2 linked regions of the Arabidopsis thaliana genome follow. The protein of the gene in region 1 interacts with the protein of each later gene in a biochemical or structural test. Each region holds a gene or a part of one and is shown on either strand. Other genes may lie near its edges.

What was found. The genes of interacting proteins can lie anywhere in the genome.
Region 2: the proteins of ETR2 (region 1) and AT1G17345 form a complex in vitro, tested with the Arabidopsis thaliana proteins (one study listed by BioGRID).

Annotation. Positions count from the first base shown.
Region 1 is NC_003074.8:8,251,508-8,260,347, reverse strand, and holds ETR2 (Signal transduction histidine kinase, hybrid-type, ethylene sensor), read right to left. Parts: upstream 5,790-8,840; 5' UTR 5,324-5,789; intron 5,227-5,323; 5' UTR 5,193-5,226; coding exon 3,426-5,192; coding exon of another isoform or gene 3,378-3,425; exon of another isoform or gene 3,343-3,377; coding exon 2,788-3,342; 3' UTR 2,460-2,787; downstream 1-2,459. Other genes in the region: AT3G23160 (plant/protein (DUF668)), read left to right, coding at 1-289; AT3G23145 (ATP binding / aminoacyl-tRNA ligase/ nucleotide binding protein), read right to left, coding at 7,152-7,216, 7,332-7,395, 7,522-7,707, 7,891-7,989, 8,148-8,210. UniProt on the Arabidopsis thaliana protein: Ethylene receptor related to bacterial two-component regulators. Acts as a redundant negative regulator of ethylene signaling.
Region 2 is NC_003070.9:5,938,527-5,943,708, reverse strand, and holds AT1G17345 (SAUR-like auxin-responsive protein family), read right to left. Parts: upstream 3,418-5,182; 5' UTR 3,185-3,417; coding exon 2,789-3,184; 3' UTR 2,184-2,788; downstream 1-2,183. Other genes in the region: AT1G17350 (NADH:ubiquinone oxidoreductase intermediate-associated protein 30), read right to left, coding at 20-100, 290-381, 569-625, 860-973, 1,267-1,318. UniProt on the Arabidopsis thaliana protein: May be involved in the regulation of ethylene receptor signaling. Promotes cell expansion and plant growth.

The sequences.
Region 1 (8,840 bases):
ACTTTCTTGGCTTGCTCCTTTAGCTCACAACATGATCCGGTGGCAGAGCGAACGCAACTTCGAGCAGCAGAATCAGATTGTGAAGCGAACTAACGTTCTTCTACTTCAGACTCTTTACTTTGCTGATAGAGAGAAGACAGAAGCTGCGATTTGTAAGCTTCTTGTCGGGTTAAACTACATTTGCCATTACGAACAACAACAAAACGCGTTGTTGGATTGCGCGAGTAGCTTTGATTATGAAGATTGTTTTGAGTGGCAGAGCCAATGCCGTGCAGCTTACTTGGACTAACAATTGGTTTTTTTTTCTTTCTTTCTTCTTCTTAGTGTTGTTCTATAGATACATTTGTTTATGATTCAACACATTGTGAATACTAAATATCTAGTTTTGTTTGCATACATAAAAAATGATTGTGAAAATTGAAGTTCTGTTGTAGATAACTCCAAATCTTAGTTAGACAATGTTAAGTGTGTATTGAAGAATATGAGTTTTTTTAAGTGTGTATTGAAGAATATGAGCTTTAACAATGATAACTCCAATCTTAGTTAGACAATGTTAGAGATGGTAACTCATAGTTAGGCAAAGTTAAGTGTGTGTATTGAAGAATATGAGCTTTTTTGAAAGACATATATTAAAGCCAACCCAACAAGAGAGAGAGATGTTAGGTGATGAATGCATTTAATCAGAGAGAGATTGAGTAGGGCAAAAAGTGCATTGATGTTTTTTGAACCAAGCTTGACATTTTTGTGGTTGAGATTTTCTTTTTTTGTGTGTCAACGATGAGAATTTCATTTATTGTTGCTATTGATTGTTGTGTGTAAGAATGAAAAAGAAAGTTAATATATTGGGTCAAGGCTTTTGGGGTTTGGGCCTAACCTTATATTGACTAAGAACTAGATCAACCTTTGGCCCAAAGTTCTCTTTATATCAAATCAGTCGTTGGTAAAGGTCTCTGCATAGTCTTTGTATCTAGACTAAGCTCCAGAATTTCTAGCTAGATCTTCCTATGTGTTTTGCTGAATATATAAATACATCAAATTGCTGAACTATTAATTCAAGAAAGTTTTGGTTTTATTAACTTTATAACTCGTATTCATATTCCTATTTCTCTAGTGGAAATTAACTTAGAAAATTAGGAAAATTGAACAAGGGCCTCCTAGTAAACTAGAAGACAACAGTAGTTGATATACTTCAATTCCTTTGACTAACATATAATGTTAAGACAAAGCTAATTTATCTTTTGTGAATGACGTGATCACAAGCAAACAAGAAGTTTGGATCGAATTGACTATATTTTGGATAATATGAGTAGAATTCTCTATCTACGTTTGTGTTCTTGTTTTTTTTTTTCTTTCTTCTAGACCTAAAAAAGAGATATGAATTTCTTTCTGTTTTAGCCAAAAATAGAGGGAAAGCAAAACTTCTATGTTATGTGTTCACATATTATACTTTTTTTTTTCTTGGGTATAAACAAAAAGGAGGTATGATTAAGATTAACACATGCATCGGTCCCTTTTGTATATTGTTCGACTTTGGAATGAATAATACATCGAACATCTTCTATTTATGAGTTGATGGTGATAAGGTATTTCAAGACTTTGCAAATCATTTTGTCAGCTATATTGACTAGGAACGACCCCTTTGGTCTTGATCTTGTGGCTCAAGCCATTATCATTTCGGCTTCATAATAGCAATTATTTTTGATCAACTTAAATAAGCCTATATATTTTCTGAATAATTGTTTTTCGAAATTAGTTACTTATGAAAAATAACTAACAATAATAACTTCCTAGTACCACAAATTTCCTAAGATTCTTAATTTATACACAAAAGAAAATTTTAGACGCGATTTAGACTAGCACATCAGTTATTTACATAATTTTACTTATGATGTAATGTAACAAATCAATCTTTTTTCTTCTTCTTTATTTCTCTAAACTGTTTTACTCGCAATAACTGTAGGCAGCCGGGGGAAATATTTGGATTCTTGAAAGTGTAAAGTGAAGAGTGGTTATCTATTTGGACATGATTGTTTTCACTGTAGTTATCAAATAATTAGTACTTTAACTAATAATTAAGACTAATCTGTCAAAGATTGTCGGGTTCGAAGAAACAAATGTATAAGCACAAGTGGGTTTGAATATATAATTGCAAGTTACGTAAACCCATCTCTTCCCTAGATTCACTTTCTGCAAATCCAATCCATTTCTACTTTATTTTATGCAGTTCTTTTAGTTTAATAGGCTCGAGGAATGTGCAGTTTTGTTTAATGTAATCTTCTCTAGTCCAGGGGGCATGAATCTAACAAATAATTACTATATTTTGATTTTTACTGGTAACAACTAATAAAGTCACACATTTTTTTCAATGATTCTTTTGTTTGAAAAGTTTATTACAAAAGTGGCAGACGACATTATCTACAACTTTTCATGTTCCAGGATAATTTAAGAGAGCTCTAATACCTACTAGAGAATTAACTTGATGTAGAGTAGTAACGAAGAAAATTTATCTTCAAAACTCTATAATGCCATATTCAGTTTCGTAAGTTCGTAACATAAAGAAAACAAAAAACTACGAAACTGACTCCTTCTTGACCCTACGAAATACTAAGATTCAATGCAATTTCGTGGGGTTCAAAATGAGAAAAAGAACAAAAAAAAACAGGATGTACAAATCATAGAGATATGGGTGGTATATATAATAACAATTTCGAAATTTCATTTTGATATATTTGACATAAATCTATGGTGTAAAAATTTTGAATGTAGAAGAGAAGTTGAGATAACAACTTAGAGAAGTTGGTCAGCTTGCAACAATACTCTTCGGAGCTCACTCTCCATAGCTCTTAACACCACTGGCTTTCTCACAACTCCATTGATTCCAATCTGTGCACACTTGTCCCACATTTCTTCATCCAAGCTCACTGTCGTCGCCACAATCAACGGCCAAGATCGACTCCTGATCCTCATGGCCACTTCATAACCGTCCATCTCTGCCATTTGAAGATCAAGCACCACCACTTGAAACGAAGTAGAAGGCGAGGACGAGCCGGGAGCAATGGCGGTAAGGCAATCGAATCCAGAGGAAACCGCGGTTACATCGCACCCGAGTTTCTCTAAGAGTTTACGTGTAACTGCCCGGTTCGAATCGTTGGTGTCTACCAATAAAACTTGTAAGCCACGTAACAGAGAATTCGAATGTGGGTGAGCGTGGTGGTCAGGAGCTGGCGACTCGCTGGATCCATGGACAGATATGGAGGGTCTACGTCGAAACCGAAGGAGCAACGACATGGTCTCCGGTGAACCATCCGAGCCAGGGACCACCGAGATATTCCCATGAATCAACTGCACACATTATCAAAGAACTCCTAAACAGAAACTCAGACTAATGACAGGAACTTTAGAAAGAGATATGTAAGGAAACTCACCTGCACCACTTTCTTACAAACACCAAAGCTTAGATCTTGTCCTAACCCATAGCCGCCGGAGAATCTAACATCACCAACTTCTTGATCTCTGGAGGAAACAGAAGCAAATGATTGAGAACTTGAATCATCATTCTCTACATTCATTTCAAATCTTATATACACATCTCCATCTGCTGAAGAAGCCGGTGATCTCCAAGCAGCCCATCTATGATCACTCCTATCCAAGCTTCCTCTTTCTTTCAAAACCTTAAACATCAATGAAGATCCTTCTTGACGTTTTCTAGGCTTTACTAAACTACCAACTATATGAAGTATCACTTGAAAGACCCTTCTTTCATCACCTACTACATTATCAGGTAGAGACTTCTCCGCGTCAACCAAGAACCTAATTCCATTGCATAGACACAAACATCTCGCCATACAAGCTGCTTCATGGATCGTACGATGCAGACTAAATGGTTTCATCTCCGTACCAAATCTACCGTCAGGCACATCCATAGAGTCCCCCACCAAATTCGACATAACATTCCCTGTTTTAACCATCGTATCAACAATCATTTTCTGCTCGTCACTCAACTTCTCGTCCTGAATCATCGACAAAAGACCGAGTATCGAATGCATAGGACGCCTCATCCCTTCGCTCATCGTTTTCTGAAACGCATTCCTCGCTTGGCTCGCTCTCAACGCGTCTCTCTTCGCCATCTGCAACGCCCTGTTCTGTTCCGCCAGCTTCTCCCTCATAAGCTGAGACTCTTCAAGAACCGCTGCATGATCTAACGCAACGGTTACTTGATCCGCCACAACTTTAACAATCTCAATCTCCTGATAAGTCCAATCCCGAGGCGTCCCGCCCGGTAAAACACAAACAAGTATCGCATAACTTAGCTCTCCATTAAAATCCGAAACACGAAGCATCGGCATTCTAATAGCAGCCACGGCACCAATCTCACTAACATCCCCACCACCACCACTAGCTCGAGCAATGGACGAGTCAACACTCAACACATTCACTTCATCACTCTCCCTAATCCTAACAACATCCAAATCCTCCATAGAAACAGAACAACCACCATAACCACCTCTCCCTCTCAACTCATGAGTCAAATCCATCTCCGTTCCACCGTCATTCGGCATCCAAACCGCACAATTCTGCAACCCTAAAGTCTTCGAAAGCTCAACCAAAGTAGTATAAAGAATCGTATGACGATCCAAAGACTTACGAATCTCTTGAGTAAGCATACGAACATGAAAGCCAGTCTCTTTCTTAATCAAAATCAAACCAACTTCACGACCAAGCTCATGAGCTTTCTTCTTAAGCATAAACTCTCTAACTTTAACTTTCAAAAGCAGAGGAATCAAAGTAATAAGCGTAATCGCAGTAGCACAAGAGACTAAAGCAGTCAACATCTTGAAAACAGTAAACGCCATCATTAATCTAAATGGATGAGCAGAGTAAGTCCAACCATGAAGAAGATGAGTCATACCACAAAGAACAATGAAGGCGATAAACTCAAAGAGAACCCATTTGAATGGAACATTGGAACAACTCACGAAGTAAAGTAACTCAATAGGGATTGAGAAATAAGCTACTGCGATTAAGAAATCGCTTACTCTTTGAGTTTCTAGAATGTTCTCTGTACTCCAGAAACTGTTTCCTTCGTCTTCGCAGTTACATCGTGGATAACCACCGCCGTTTATAGCTAAAACCGGAGAAACAAACACCACCATTGATAGTATCAATAACCAAGAAGCTATTTCTTTAACCATCTTCGGAGAAAAAAAATGCTTAGTCCATTATACTCTGCAATTAGAAAAACAAGAAACAGAGTGAGAAATAAAAATCAAAACTTTAATTTGGGTAATAGTAGAAAGAACAGAGAAAGAAAAATTTGGAATACCTGAAAGAGATGAGTTTGGATCAAAATGAAACAGTTCTCAGATCTCTCATCGACCTGTGAAATTCCAACGAAGTGATGTACGAGAATCTTCTAATTCTCTTCGACATTCCGATCTTCCTCTCATAGAAGAACAACGATGACGAGAATAAAAATACACAAAGAGAAAGACAGAGACAGAACAAAAAAAGCTGGTGATGACAAAACCAGAAGACTTAAAAGTGAAGAGATAGAGACAAATCTGAAACTACTTTGAAGTTATATAAAAAAACGTGAAGTACGTTTATTTATATATGCCGGAGATGATTAGTGCCGGAAAACCGCCATAAGCCGCCGATGGAGGATAAAAAGAGAAGTGTATGTATAGGGTGTAAGTAAAGGTAGGAGCCGTTGGTTTTAGAGGAAGGTTTTGAGATTTTTTCTTCTTCTTTATTCTCTGATTTAGAAACTTAAAGAGGTCCCACTTGTTCTTACATGAACCGAACTTAGACGGTCTTTTGAATTTTTTCTGAGTTGTGTTTTTTTTCTTACACTTAATAATTTTTTGGTCACTAATGTATTAATAAATCATTTAATATTGAAAACATTTGTTATTTCCTCAACTTGTACGTTTTATAAATTTAACTTATTACAAGCTGTAACATAGAATAATTAATGGGTACTCTGAATTTTATCAAAATCCCGTATATCATGAGACTGAAGAATAGAATAAAGCTTGTTTATTTGTATATGAATGAGTAAAATATTGGTATAATTGTTGGAAACTATCAAGCCACATGACATGAATCTAGGAACCTAAAAATTATTTTAATAAATGTGTTTTATTCCAAGAAAGTATAAAATTAAGACCAAGGAGGCAAATAGATCATATATTTCTTAAATTAGCTTTGTTTATAAACAAAAGAGCACAAAATCTAACGTAATCACTGTGTTTTGAACTGACACAAGTAGTCGGATATTTGATGAGATTAGTCTAATACTCTAATTAGATATTTTAATTAGTCAAATATTTACAAAAAGAAGATATGTATAACGCCTTAAGATGTTGATTAATATGAGGGACCTACAAAACTGTGATCTTTGATTTTATTATAATGTTTCCTTCACCATACATGAATCTAAAGAGTAATGAGTATATATTTGAAACCACATTGCTATTACTTTCCTAACTTTTAATTGTATGGTTTTGACTCTAGAAGAAACCATGTTAGACCACAGAATGTCAGAATCGCATGTGTTCTTTTATATTGAAGCTCTAATTAGTATCTACCAATCATCTTTGAAAAACATCATTGTTTAAAGCCTTTGTACATATTTATTTTATTTATTGATAGTACTATCTAAAGAAATTGAACCTAGAAGTTTTTAGACGACACGTTACCTAAGTTTTTTTTGTTGGTGTTTTTAGTGGTCACTGTAACAACAGAGAGTTTTAGCATCACTACCTATAACCATAATCTTGATGCTTCAAACGGAGTCATACAATTACAGAACAAAAAAAAATACATTGAAACTCTTGAGCATATTTTGTGAAGCTAGTTCGGATAATTTTGAATTTCCACAAGTAACAAAGTTTCTTGTTGTTTTTGTAATAAATCCCATCTTTATCTATAGAATGAGTACAAAGTCTCAAGAGACATTTAACTTTTTGCAACGATCTAGAAGAAAACACTTTAAAAGGCTCTCATGCGTTCTTCTTGCTTAACAATTAGTCACCGACTGTCAAATGCAAATGTTCTCCTAGAACCACAGTCATAACAGGGTGCTTTTCAATGCATGAGCACAATGAGAAGGAAACCCATATATCAAATATACAACTTATATATGACCATTAATCGCTTCGGTTACATTTATTTACCTCACGGGCAACACCTTCGTTTTTCAAAGATTCATCTTCTCGTAGATCAAGAATTACCATAACATCATATCTGAACCATGAACGAATGCAAATATTATATGTTTCCTCAACAATAGAGCATAGAGAAGTGGTATTTTTAATTAAGATATGTACTATCTACAGCTGCATCAATCTCTGTATCTTTCAAACCATCTGGACGTTTGAAATCTCTGACAATCTAAACAACACATGAACAAAATGTGTCATGAACATGGGTTCTTGAAGATACTGTAAACTTAAACAAGAAAGAAAATAAACTTAATGTTAAAGGTGGTGATATAAGGAAGATGTTGTCAAATCTAACCTTCTTAATTATCTCGTTCTCAAGACAAACACGATAGTCATCTGCACCAAAGACAGGAGCACAATGGACAATACCAGTACCACTATCATTCATGACATAATCATCTGCTACTAGTCGAAAAGTCACACTTGAGAAATCGCTAAAAGTAATCAAACAAAGGTTCATACTTCTTCCCAACCAAGGAATCTCCATTAAAATTTTCCAAAACTTGATAAGAATCCTCTTCACTGTCAAGCTTAATTAGCACCTTTCGCATTATGGTATCACTAGTAAGTTCCATTAGTTAAGCCGGCCTTAGGCTTATCACTAGGAAGCGATGACAACCGAGATTCAGCAACAATGTAGACTTTTCCAGTGTTGTTGACGAACCTTAAGATAGACAAACTTTGCATTGACACACAAAGCAAGATTACTTGGAAGAATCCATGGAGTAGTAGTCCATGCCACAAGAGCCGTATTATCTTGGATCTCCGATAACAGGGAATGTAACCATTACTAAATATGCAACACAATATGCAACAATAAATATGCAAAAAAAATATATATATTTAACACAAAAAAAAAAAAAAAAATGCAACAACAGAATGTTATAATCTTCATTAGCAACAAGGCCAACAACAACATACCTTATAGTTCTGACCAGCTTCAAAATTAGATAGTGGTGTTTTACAACCAGTACTATAAGGCATAACCTTGAAGCATCTATAGACAAGATTCTTATAAAAAAATCAGCCTACTACACCCAATTAAAATCTTTAATTTGAGTTATATATTTTAACACCGTCATTTCAATTTTTCCATGATTTTTAAGCCCAGCAAATCATAATCTGGCTCTTGAAATTTACGAACCCAAAAATCAAACCTCCAAATGATATTGGGCCTTTTAACTGGTCATACTTTGATCGCTACTTCTACTTCTAAACTTCAACTTTCAGTTCATAAAACCCAGATTTGACTTTCATTTACTCTCCTTTATTTTTTATGCATGTAATATACTATCACATTTTTATAATCATAATTTGTTTTACAACATCAAGGCTATGATTGATTCATATGAGCTCACATGGGTCTGCAAAAATGTAGTTTCTAAATTTGGAAGGCTTTTCAAATGGTGTAAATTATAAACTTCACCAACCTATTATTAAAACGCATATAATGTTTATCCCATTGCAGTTCGAATTCATTCATAATATAAGTTTAAACTTACTTTATAATGTAAATTCATACAAACCCACTTGAAATGTAAATTCATGTAAAATATTATACAAGAGAATGATAGATAGTCTTTGATTATACAAACCCAAATTTCATACAACGTA
Region 2 (5,182 bases), on another chromosome or scaffold:
GTATCAACATAAAACTTACAGTAGAGATATAACATCTTCCATCTCCTCTGATCCTCAGGGCTATTGCATCATACCCATCGAGATCAATGAAGCCATCAAACTAGAAAAGCAGAGGATGCTAGAATTAGTTGCAATAGTAAGCTGACTCAAAAAGTCTCTCGTTTACAAAACCAGGACTAAGATATAGTAACCCATTTTCCTTCTTTTCTTCAAACAAAGACTGACATGCAGAAAATATGTTTTGAATAAGAATGGTTAGTAAGATAAATGAAAGCTCTGTGTTGTTCACCTTTTTTGAGCGCATTCCACAGAAACCACTTCGACTGATGTTCCATTTTGATCCTTCGCTAAGGTCTACAGATAGGTTCCCCGAAAAAACTCCTATAAAAGATATTTGGATGAAAAAACATCACTAAGTGGAGCAGTGTAGAAGCACAACGAGTCAACGAGAAATTAAGAAATGATGACATAGAAGAAATCTCATATTGTTTTATTGATGAACTTCATGACAACAAGACATGCTGGAGGGCCGATGATAGATCACAGAAGAAATTACAAAGTTGCTAACCAGTGCAATCTGATCCATCTCCTTTATCTGGGATCTCCAAGGAAGCCGAAGATAATCCTGTCAAATAAGTATCAAACTTCAAACAGGTTGCCACAAGATAAATATTAAAATGCATAGCATATTGTTTACATATCAATGTAAATCTGTGCAATGCCGATCTTCAGAAATCTTATTTTGTCTATAGTTGTTCATATGGATCACCGAGGCATGGAAATGAAAGGGATAATGACAACAGAAACAATATCAGATACTCTTTACGGAGCAGATGCTTAAACCTGTCAGCATAAGTACCTCCATATTCAGAGTCGGAATAGAGATGCCATTTCTTTAAGTCTTCTTTAGAGTGGAACTTAAATATATGCTTCTCTGCAGGTGGCACCCATTCTTCAACGTTCCATGTAAGAGCTAACAGTTTACAGGGTGAAGATAAGTCAGAAACTAGCAAATCTTTGCTGCATTCAAAAGCATAAAGGCTAGTATAGAAATATATATGTGATCCCAAAAGTTTGTAAGCATTGGAACATAGAAGCAACGTTATTGTTTCCTCAAACATCACTTGCAATCAGTCACTGTCTAATAAGTATAAGCACAAGCACAAAATAAAACGAAACATCAACACACAAACCAAAAAAAAAATCAAAAGATCAAAGAATCAAGTACGACACATGATAATTGACGGAAAAGTGGCAGGCGAATACCCTTCTTTGTCGCATTTACTGAGGCTTGCAACAACGATCGAAACCTTGACATGTCTCTGTAGCTGCTTTCCCAGATGAAAACAAAGAAAGCTTGTCTAAGATATATAAAAATGACTGTTAGGAATTAAAGCTCCAATTTTTCAATGGTAAACACTAAATGACACACACACAAAACCTCAATGATCAGAACCAGACTCCAGAAAACGTATAAAAAGTAATGTCTTTGCAAGGTTAGCTATATCAGAAGTTGACGCATCCTAAACAGAAACCATACGCTAGTGACTAAAGACTATTATTACCCTTTGAAGCTTTTCAACAAACACCTTGTCAGCCAAAAATCGATCAAGGTAATCACAAATGCAGCTGGTGAAAAAACAAATTGTCCCCAAATCCTTCAGAAAAACCCGACATATATCACAGACGCTAATAAAAAGGTTGCCATATGAATTCATATTCTGCTCCGAAATGCACAGGAAAGAAAAATCTCAGAACAAGAAGATCTGATAATTAGAACAAGCCAAATGCTAAAGACTAACTAAAACTATTCTAAAGTTTTAGAGTTTCCACTAAACGAAGCAAAGATGATAGGAACTCACTCACTGGATTTGCCGTCACCGTCGCACAATCAGCCTCTGTTTACCGATTAACAGTCAAACTTGAAGACCACCAAGCTGCACGTCACTGTTTCTACGCCACGATGCCGTTTTGCGAGACCAATCTTATTAAATGGGCCTATTTGGCCCAAGTTCTCCAATATATTCCCCAATAGTAAATCCACAAAGTGTCCATTTTTTTATACAGATTCAATTAATACGAATTTTTTTTCAACGTTGAAATACATAATTCTTTGTTTATATTCAGGCAAAGATATCCCATTATCTACATATAGGCTATAGCTTGACATGAGATATTAAGAACTACATAAATAATTATGCTGGTCGAGTTAATGAGCATCCTATATTTTATTATTTTATTAAAAACCACCATTATGATTACGAGCCATACATACTCACATCGTAGTCATGTTTAATTAATTACTCCAAGAAGTTTATACCTAATTTCACTTCACATTACAACTTGGATACACTTATAGACGTAGTTAGTAATTTATACTTAAATATTTGTTTCCGTGACAGCTTGATGCCACTAGAAAGGCAAGTAGGACAACCGTCCGTGCAATTGGGTAGCCCTGCGCATCATCATGTGGCGGCCACTTTTATTCTTTCGAAAATCTCATAACTACGTACTACTGTAGAGTACATGTATATCAAATGGAGCTAATCATAAAAAACAATTTTAGCATATGTTACAATTTATCATCATTTGGGGCAAGATACTACTACCCTCTTTCGACCGACATAATTATAATATTAGTTAAAGATTACTAGTTAACTCTAAAAATTTGCTCGGGAGAAAAACAAAAGCAAAGAAAATGGTCTGTGCATGACCGCATTATTGGATCATGTCGAATCAAATTCCAAAATTAACGAAATAAAAGTATATATGGATATGTATCGCGCCGTCAATAAGTATAGAACTCAGCCAACTCCTCGACGGATCCTCTTTCGCGATCATCCTCATCGCCGTGATCAGAGGAACTGTTTTTGAGCATCCATAACAAGTGCTCGAACAATACGACTTCGCAAGCTACTAAGACGGTCTCTTGGTCGTGACGTTCTTCGATAAATCTAGACGACCGGTCAAGTAGTTCTTGGAAAAGCGGATGAGCGATGACGTGGGAACTAAGCATGTAAGGTCTTCGTGACTTTCCGACGTAAACCACATGGAGATCCTCGCACTTTGAGACCTCAGATACGGCGGTAGAGGCGGTACACATGGTTGAATGGTGGTTCTTGGTCAAGGAAGGCCATTTCTTTATGGCAGACTTGAGCTTTGTCAGTTTACCGAATATAGCCATTAGCGAAAGTCTCTGATTTTTAGCAATAGTAGTAGTTTCTTGAAATTAAGATTATTGTTTTGTGTATGTTTTATCAGGAATTGAGAAACTAACTTTCTTGGTACGTAAGAAGGAAGTATTGGGTTCTTTGTATTTATATTGAGGGACAGGGAGAGAAAGAGAACAGCTAAGAAAGATAAAGGAGGCTACAAAATCTGTAAAACTGGTGTCCCCTTGCTCTAAATTTTATTTAATAATCTATATTATATATTATGTGTAAGTGTGTGTGGATGCATGTTGATATGTGCATACGTGTGTATGTGGGCTGGACAATCTACTCTTGTGTCTTGTTGTGCAATGAATCGGACCAAGCAAGGGTGATCGATGATTTTTAGATAAAGATTACATCATGATTGAGATAAGATCTCCATGATAATTATATTTAGTGTCGCGCTTAAAGTTACGGTTTTGGCCGAAAGAATAGGGTGTATAGTAATTTAGCTTTTTAATTATTACACACAAAATCTTGTAGTTTAGTTATTATATATATGTTTTTTTGAACACAAGCGGTCCATATATTTTAATATGTACGTATTTAAATTTATACTTTCTTGAATAAAAACTAATTCGACAATTGAAGTCATAAAACAAAAGCATCTGTCTTTGATCGAACTGCACATTGTGGGAGATAAGCTAATTGGTAAAAGAAGTATAGAAAACCTTTATAAAGTGATCCAAACTTGTTTTTATCAATAGTTTAGCCTAAGAGAAATCAAACAACAAAATAGTCGTCGATCATCATTAGTTAAATACCTTAGTGATAGTGATTAATGTTGATTAATTAGTAGTAGTAATCTGTGTGATGATTTATATATATATATGTATAAAAAGAATCCAGATATAAACCTGTTTATCGCACGTAAACAATACCCTGCTTATGTGCATTTGACTCTGTGATCGGTTCAATGTACTACACTAAAATATTTCTTCGAAAATATAATACGTTTTAAAAATACTAATATATAAATGTTGACATTGTGATGCTACAATTTTGTAATCAAGAACTCGTTTGGTATATTCTGAACTGTAGACAGAACCCCTGGTTCTCGTAGACAATGTAGTGTATAACATACTAACTCAGTTGATTGAACTTTTATTGTTAATCTAACCTCATCGAATTGAATTCTGAAACATTGAAGAAAAGAGCTGTATATTTTTTTTTATTAATCTCAGAAATATCCGACAGCTTTTGGTTTTGGTGGGCGAACAATTGCCAGCCAACAGCCAACAAAATCAAATTATTTAATGAGAAGAATTAAATAAAAATATTCTGAACAAATAAGTTAGTTGCAAGAGCAAATTAGCCAGTTGGGATGTTCTTGTTCTTCAAGAGTGCGTTACACCTTTTCCTTGGTTTAACCAGCCAATTAAAAAGATTTTGTTTAATGAAAAGAGTTTGAAACATGAAGCATCTAAAAAAATCCTAATCTTGTTACACTTTTTCTTTTGTCCACATTTTTAAGTACTCTATATAGGAAGGTGTGTTGCTGAAGTCAGCCCATTACACGACGTGTCAAGAAAGCCTTAGGTGGTATACTACAGAGGCTCCTGTCGTCTAACATAAAGTGTTTTCGGGTGCAAAAAGATAAATATTTTTGGGGCCAGATTTCTTAGAAATTAGCCGGTCTCGAAACGCAGGCCTCTCTAACCTTTAAAGAAACCTTTTGGCAATAATTCTATCAGGATGCTATGTTTTAGTTTGTTGGTAACTTTTCAACACAATGGATTCAAAGGTCTAATAACACAATTTATTGCCGCGCATGAATTGGCGGTTAATAAATTACGAAAAAAATGGAAAAACAAACAAACCAAACCCTCTATATATACCAAAAACAGAAAAACAGAATCAAACTTTGTGGGTGGTGGTGAAAAAACAAGAATGAAATCTATTTTGCTAAGAATAGAAAGAAAGAAAGAAAAAAAAAAGAAAACAAGAAACGTGGATCTTTACAAAGGTAT